Linked DNA regions of Bombyx mori. The protein of the gene in region 1 purifies or fractionates together with the protein of each later gene. This does not show direct contact. Links are inferred from orthologs where the notes say so. Each region holds a gene or a part of one and is shown in the gene's direction. Other genes may lie near its edges.

Region 1 (4,468 bases):
AAACATTCGTACAATGTACGAATATTTGCCCGCATGTGAGTGGCCGGCATTACTATCATTCTCAAAGATGGGTTAATACCACTGAAGTAGGAAACCTATATAGGTCTATGGTTAATACCGATATTTGTCAATATTAGCTAATACTAATATATTCATTATGTAATATTATAATACCTTAACTAATACGTGAATATCCTGATATCTTAATATACTTCGATAAAACGGGTAAACGAGTTAAACCTAATACGGTATTCGTGAAATAAGTTAATAATCATAGATAATACACATAAATTAGTTATTAATAATATAAATAGTATATTGTATCTAGGAATTTGACTTCATACTAAATATTTTACAAATAATATTATATACATTAAAATGAATATTATTATTAAATCAGAATTTGGTCAACATTGTATATTAATATAAACAACAAGTTAGTAATATTATTTATTTCTTATTGGTGCATAAAAACATCAGCTTTTTTACTTTTTCTACCGAAAGACTGGTACGTCGGTCAGTAATGAGTTCACCAGATTTTGAAAAAATCCTCTTACACGGTACTGAGGTGGCTAGTGGGTACCTACACAACAGTTATAATATTATAATCCACGAACCGTTTGTTTAGAAAGTCATTTCGATTCAAAAATCAAACTTTTATTTATATTTTGAGAATTTCTTAGAAGATAATTAAATACCACCGCAAAAATATATTTTCATCATAATTTATTACGTAAAACACTTAATTTAGTTCTGGCCGTATTACGTTTTGTGTAAAAATAATTTAATTTATGAAATTGGTAAACAATATCAACTACCTACTTCCGTTTTCCAAATCATCGTTTTAAAACCAACTAATTCGAAGGGAACAGAAAATAAAATTAAAATAATGAAAATAAAGCTCCCCGATTTTATTCTAATAAATGTAAAAATGCACTATTTTGCCTTGAGTAGAATCTTTAGTTGAATCAAGAAATGAAGGATCAAACATTAAAACGTAATGTATTTAAAAATTCCCACTAGCATCGTACGGCGTATGCCAGTATATTTTCGAGTGATAGATACAACCCGACCGATGTGAGTTAGCTAAGTGTTATGAATAAAGTGAATACGGAATATTAGCAGATCAGAATGCGACGGATTACCGACACACGAATACAAGCTGTATTAAGAATATCTTAATGAATACTAATATATCGGTCTCACCCTTAATCATTCTATTTCACCATTCAAACCAGAACGCTGGACTGCTTCGCGGCCAAAATAGGCAGCGTTGTGGCACCTATTCTTGTATACTTATAACATGAATCCCACAACCATAAATACCTTGTATATAAATATTTCTCGACGAAATTTACTCAATTTCTCTGTGTTCGAATATTTTAAGTCGAGTTCATGAACAATTACAAGGACTCTAGTCTACCTGATTCGACACTTCAGAATATCATATGTAACATCACTATTATTGTTATAATCTATGTTTCTCTCGTTGCGGCACAATTTTTGTCTTCCCGTTTGAAACTATAATTTTTCAATCTTTTATGTTAGTTGTTACGTCTACAATAAAATAAGAGTTAAAACATTAAAATTTTGAAGGTAAACTTTCAAATTAACAATTATTAAAGATTATATTTCCAAAAATTTTAGGTTAAGTAACATTTTGTGAAATTAGGTAATAATTAAATTTTTTACTTTTTAATGTTTGTTTTGTCCATAATCATGCATTCTGTGCTAAGCGACTTATTAAAAAAAACGATCACTTATTTCTAATCAAGTAACCTAGTGACTTTCATGGTTCAGATTTTAAAAAATTAAAATGGAAAAATTATTCATTTCAGATATGGCTGCACAGCTTTTCAATCGCATTGGGCAAGTCGGTCTAGGCGTGGCATTGGTTGGAGGTGTTGTCAATTCTGCATTGTATAATGGTAAATAATTTTACTTAAACTATATCAGTTATAACCTTGCATAAGCTTGCTAGCTGTATTGTATGCTAAACATAAAAGTTGCATTTGCTTGGATCCCCAAAATAGCTCTTGTGTATCTTTGATAGAAACTTTGATATTATATTTTTTTTGTCATTGCTTAGATGGGTGGACGAGCTCACAGCCCACCTGGTGTTAAGTGGTTACTGAAGCCCATAGACATCTACAACGTAAATGCGCCACCAACCTTGAGATATGCGTTCTAAGGTCTCAGTATAGTTACAACGGCTGCCCTGCCCTTCAAACCGAAACGCATTACTGCTTCACGACAGAAATAGTCATGGCGGTGGTACCTACCCGCGCGGACTCACCTACCACCAGTAAAATTAATTAAATCCTTAATTGATGATAACAAAATCTATATAAAAAAATACACTTATCTTTAAGAAATTTCTTCAAAACAGAGGATTATGTAATATAAATAAATAATACATTATTTGTCATTGTGATAAACCACTGAAAATGCGACATGTAAAAATGCTGATCCTTATAAATATATGATAATTGTTTCCAGTCGACGGTGGTCACAGAGCTGTTATCTTCGATCGATTTGCTGGTGTTAAGCAGCTAGTTGTTGGTGAAGGCACACATTTCTTCATTCCTTGGGTCCAGAGGCCAATTATATTTGACATCAGGTCTCGACCCAGAAATGTTCCTACTATTACTGGAAGTAAAGGTAAGATAATGCTTAAAATGCAAAAATTTTATAATCTGTATTCACTTTAGCATAATGCATCATATTGGCTTTAATACTTCTGTTCTAGGGTTTCAAAGCTATGTTATTTTTATTAGTATTAAGTGGTAGAGCTCATAACCTAGCAAGTATGCCTCCATTCACTTTCAGAGATAAGGTTAAAGTCCCATTTATAGTGTGAAAAAAGCTATATAATTCTTCAAATTAGATTGCAAGACTTCTTTGCACCAAAAACAAGTAGAACAACAGTACCAATGCAAGTGAAATGAGTAGTTGTATGTGTAACATGTACTTATGAATGATTGATGGCTTTCTTTGATTATGGAAGTGTTTGCATACTTACTTTCATGAAATGGCAAAGCAAAGGCAAGTGAATTGATACATCAGCCAAAAAATATATACTTCTGTGATGTTTAATGATAGAACATCAGAATGTCAACATTTGTAAGAATAATAAAGCAACAATATGGATGATGTGACTATACTCTTGTATTGTAAAAAATTAAACATGAATTGAGATTAAAGATGAAAAATCCATTTATATTACAAATACACTCATTAGAATTTAAATGCCCTGGTGTTAGGCAGATTGTATTGTACTTTAATGCATGCTAAAACATTGTGCAGCACAATAATTCACAAGATATTATCATTGGTAACTAATTTAGGAAGCAAAAATGAGTAATAAACTCAACATAAATTACAAACTATTTTAAATACTTTTAGATAAAAATAACCTTCTTATTTTAGCAAATAAAAATATTCTATTCAATAAAACTTCAATTAATAAATCCACTTCCATTTGTTTTTTTGAGTTTACATTGTATAATGAAAATACCAGTAGTTAATTTAATAAAACATTTATTTTATTTCAGATCTTCAAAATGTTAACATCACACTTCGTATCCTCTTCAGACCAGTTCCTGATCAATTACCAAGAATTTACACTATTCTTGGTATTGATTATGATGAAAGAGTACTTCCATCTATTACCTCAGAAGTTCTGAAAGCAGTTGTTGCTCAGTTCGATGCTGGAGAACTTATTACACAAAGAGAGGTGAAAGTCTTGCTATTTTTAAACAAACATACTCCACTTCTTATTATGCTATATGAGGAATCATCTGTAGGATTACCAATTTTCAATTGAAGGAACCTGTTTTAATGCAGTTTGTAAACATTCATACTTTCATTTTAATATGTGATTGTTCTGAACTTAAACTCAGTGTTACAATAAAACTTGTATTAAGTTTATATGAATATCTGATTTTTCAGCAAAATATTTAAATGGTAATTTAATTTGCCTAGTGCACCTATAATGGCTATGAAATTTGACATTGAACTTGATAACTTGATAACTTGACAGCTTTGAACTTATTGTGCTAAGTAGTGATATAGACTAGAACTAACTCCATACTTCATCTTATTAATATTATACCTCATGAGGGAGACTACTCACCATCAGATGGGCCGCATGCTCCTCTTAGAAAGGCAATAACAAAATTTAGCACCTACCCATATTTAACCATATTATGAGTCAGGCCATGTTACCAAGTGTCTAATGCAACAGTCACTGATCTTACAGAGCATTAAGCACATAGGTTGGCATAGTTCAGCATACCAATCAAAACACCATTTCCTTTGACTTTAAACTGTCCCAAAATTGTTGACCAATTTTTAATCAAAACATAATTTTTGTTTACAGATCGTGTCGCAAAAAGTCAATGACAGCCTAACAGAGAGAGCAGCACAATTCGGCCTCATCCTAGACGACATTTCTATCACTCACTTG
Region 2 (4,309 bases), on another chromosome or scaffold:
ATTTCTATAGCAATGAGATCATGTCCCTACCTACAAGATGGCAAAAAGTTATCGAACAAAATTGTACCTACATACTTTAGTTATATGTAAATAAATTATATTAAAAAATGTTGTGAATTTTCTTAAAAAATGCGAAGAAACTTTTTCCCCAACCTATTATTTCTAGACGCGGAGCAGTCATACGTTCCGATGTGACAAGTGTGACAACAGTGGTAGATTAAAATAATAATTGAAACATCCACTCCACATTAAGTCAGCTGGAATAGAACTGTAACTCGTATCCAGGGATTTGATCCATAGCTCCTACAAACAGATACCAATTTTGCCTATGAATATTTACCTAACACGTGTTTTAGAACAACTTTAAATTTGAAGGTACGCATCGTCTAATAAAAATCTAATACCATATCCCATATTTGCAATTTGCGTAATTACTGGCGTTAGAGGAGAGAGTACGGCTAGCCTGCACAAAGTCACTACCATCCTGACTATATGTCATCCTATCATACGAACATTAAAACATCGTCATTGGATATTAATTTCACTTTGTAAACTGACCAATGGACCTTAAAATTTCCGAAGAATTAGTGCACATTCTTATTTCCACAAACATATCTTTTAATTCTCGGATAGATTTCTCCAGATTATTTTTGTTCGACTGGGAATCGTAGTTCACTCTGACTGTAGCCACATCGTCGGCATCTCTAAATGAATAGCTGTGCTTTCTTATTGCTTGCATCAGATGATTCTCTTCGATTTTAAGTCTTTTAATTTTAGCAAGGATGGATTCTTCGTCTATGTCTTCAATGTCTTTTGTATCAGAATCCTTACTTTTTACACTGTTAGAAATTGTACATTGAATATTAGACATAGTATTTTTTATTTTCGATAAAAATATAACACGATTGTATCTAAGAAACCATGTTATTTAGTATTGATTCAACAGTCGTAAGTGGCACGAACCGAAGTTTAATTAAACATGGACAGATAGTACATGACATATAATGCCTTTTTAGGTATTTCCCTAATTTAGGTATTTACTATAGAAACAAGGAGATCAAACAAAGGATTTATTTTGAATCTCTTAATATTATGAACATAATTATTTCTATTATGGGCAGCGATTCCAAAAGCGAATCCAGACAAGCATCTATGATAATGTGTTTTAATTAAATAAAATATATTAAATTGTACGTAGTAATGTATGTACATACTTAGTGTTTTTAAAATTATTTCCCATCATCCAACTATCCATAGCCAACTGACAGACGTCAGGATCGCATTGTCTCGGCGCATAGATAATATAGACTTCATGTCTCGGCGGCCAGATGATAATATAGTAATTCTATTTTGTCAGGAAATTCTGAATTAGTTGTGGTTGTATAAATGCTCCTATTTTTGTCTGGGGAGACAAACAAACAAAAAATATAAATTTAGTCTGTAAATAGTGTGAATATAAACAACATACGAAATTTATGAAAGAACAATAAATACGTTGAAAATATTATTTTAAACTTCATTAAAAGACACTTCATAGAAAAAATATTTTCACAATGTTTACACAACATAGATTTTTAATAACTAAAGCCGCTTCATTTCGGGTAAGTAAAATTTTCGTAAATAAGAGACGTTTTTATAAATTTGAAAAAAATAACCTCTTGAAATTCTGTTGCAGAATCTTTTATTACCTGAATTACAAAACAATGCTCGTGTCTTGTATAACATCTCGCCAGTACGAAGTCGTTCTACAACTCCACTGAATACAATAATTATGTTTGTTCCCCAACAAGAGGTACAATGAAATTTTGATTGTTACTTATGAAAAAAAAACCACTTGTAGCAAATGTGTGTTGTGTTATAGTCCTAGGGTACCCCGCTGGTACATAGGGCCCTCACAAGTTGTCTCCACTTTACCCTGTCTTACGCTTGCTCCTTGACATCACGTAGCAAATAATAGCTTCAAATTCTTGCTATCCAACAAACGGTTCTGTGTAGAACAATTCTCTCCAGTTTATCCAATTAATATATTTTGTATGGTATGGTACAAATTTTACACTTTCGAATCTTTTAATCTAAAAATTTAGAAATTTTCTAAGCCTGTAATGAAGAATTTGAATTCTTAATTGTCATACAGCTTTGTGTATTTGCTAAAAATATTACTGATTAATGTTTAGTATAACTAAAGTATGATAACAAATTAATAAAAGCTTAAGAGTAATGATATAAAACAGTATTTTAAATTGGATACTTTAGCATTATCATAATCAAACTATTGAATGACATTATTCTTCTAATTGATGATGAAATTATTGTTAAAATTTAAAATGTATAAAAAAATTATAATTTCAGGCATGGATTGTAGAAAGAATGGGAAAATTTCATAGAATTTTGGACCCAGGATTGAATATTTTATGGCCGATAGTAGATAAAATAAAATATGTTCAAAGTTTGAAGGAAATAGCCATTGATGTTCCTAAACAGAGTGCAATTACATCTGACAATGTTACATTGAGCATTGATGGAGTACTTTATCTTAGAATTATTGATCCTTATTTAGGTGAGTAATATACCCTTTAGAAGTTTTTTAATATATTTTTGCTAAACAGACTAGTAGATTATTAATTAGTATTGAATAACACTAACCTAAGATCCATAAGGTTTGAATAAGTGTTTTTCATTCGCCCTGTCCCTTTAAAATAAGATGAATAAATAATGTAATATTGTAATGATGATATCTGTTTGCAAAATCATAGACTAAATATCAATAAACTGTTAAGGTAGCCTGAAAAGGTCATAAATACAATATTGTAAATAAAATACTAAAAATTTTTAATTTTCCAGGCATAAATAGCTGAATTTAAAATGTATAGAAAGCAAAAACGGAGACAAAAATATTAAAATAATTCTCATTTTTCCCTTCCAAATATTCTTATGCTTTATTTATATCATATTTAATTCAATTTACATTAGAATAATTTTATGATTCCATTTGTGGTTGAAATGTGTTGAAACCCATTTGACATTTTGACAAATCAAAATAAATAAAATTTGCATGCCATCAATTTTAGTATGTTATTTGATAAGTTGTAGAAATTGTCCTAACCTATTGGCATCGGCATCAATTACAGCTTCATATGGTGTAGAAGATCCTGAATTTGCAATTACACAGTTGGCGCAAACTACAATGCGATCAGAAATTGGGCAGATTTCTTTGGATAAAGTGTTCAGGGAGAGAGAATCTTTAAATGTATCTATAGTGCACGCCATTAACAAGGCCAGTGAAGCTTGGGGTATTACTTGTTTAAGATACGAAATACGTGAGTGTTTTTCTATTTTAAGAAAGAATTGTAATATACACTTCATAATGTTTTTACTTTGTATCATTATGCTCATCCATGCTCATCTATTATTTAACTAGAATTGTTTTTAAGCAATCAACTGTCCTATCAACATGTACATCTTAATATCTTCATAACCTTTCTGATAGAGTGTAATTCATTATAATAAATTCCCACTGATTTGAGTAAATATTTTTTTGTAGGTGATGTTAAACTACCAACGCGTGTACATGAAGCAATGCAAATGCAAGTAGAGGCGGAGAGACGGAAACGAGCCGCCATACTAGAGTCTGAGGGGGTTCGTGCAGCTGACATTAATGTTGCAGAAGGAAAACGCCAGTCTAGGATACTCGCTTCTGGTAAGTTTTATTTCTTTACGTCATATTATCAAAGGACAAATCCTATTTAGATTAGGTGCTTTTACTCTTCCTATACGTCTCCACTAAATATTTATTTTGAAATCTGTTTTGAATTGTATTTAAGTATTCAATTACCCAGCACACAAAGTATTTTACACCACTTGTCAAATAAGTGGGGCTATTTAATCTGTTTTCAAACATTCAATTAGCACTATAAATTAATTGTTCAGTAATGCTTTTATAGATGAGACTTCAAGATCGTTTAATGTTTAATATTAATTCACGAACAGAGGCAGAGAAGCAGGAGCAGATAAATAAAGCTGCGGGTGAAGCGCAAGCGATGCTCGCGGTGGCCGAGGCTCGCTCACGTGGGCTCAAACTGATTGCACACGCACTCGCCGACAGGGTTTGTATTAGTCAAATTAATTCTGAAATATATATTTGTTTATTACTTTATTCATTTAGGAAACCATACGGTGTATAAAAAAAAATTATAGTCTCTGTAATTAACTTATACAAGACCCACGAAATCCATACCTGGTGAAAGTACTCGAGAACTATGACAGAAGGATACGAAACACATTTTAAGGGGAAAAGGGTGTGGTCAAGAAA

Evidence for each region.
Region 2: the proteins of prohibitin protein WPH (region 1) and stomatin-like protein 2, mitochondrial purify together in Homo sapiens (affinity purification with western blotting; 3 studies listed by BioGRID, with this or other methods). This does not show direct contact. The link is inferred for Bombyx mori from reciprocal best matches to the Homo sapiens genes PHB1 and STOML2.

Annotation. Positions count from the first base shown.
Region 1 is NC_085110.1:5,298,580-5,303,047, forward strand, and holds the start of prohibitin protein WPH, read left to right. Parts: upstream 1-1,485; 5' UTR 1,486-1,596; intron 1,597-1,838; 5' UTR 1,839-1,840; coding exon 1,841-1,928; intron 1,929-2,499; coding exon 2,500-2,661; intron 2,662-3,554; coding exon 3,555-3,736; intron 3,737-4,381; coding exon 4,382-4,468.
Region 2 is NC_085125.1:7,768,330-7,772,638, forward strand, and holds the start of stomatin-like protein 2, mitochondrial, read left to right. Parts: upstream 1-1,257; 5' UTR 1,258-1,553; coding exon 1,554-1,601; intron 1,602-1,675; coding exon 1,676-1,792; intron 1,793-2,349; coding exon 2,350-2,557; intron 2,558-3,128; coding exon 3,129-3,317; intron 3,318-3,541; coding exon 3,542-3,697; intron 3,698-3,987; coding exon 3,988-4,103; intron 4,104-4,309. Other genes in the region: coiled-coil domain-containing protein 112, read right to left, coding at 559-871. UniProt on the Homo sapiens protein: Mitochondrial protein that probably regulates the biogenesis and the activity of mitochondria.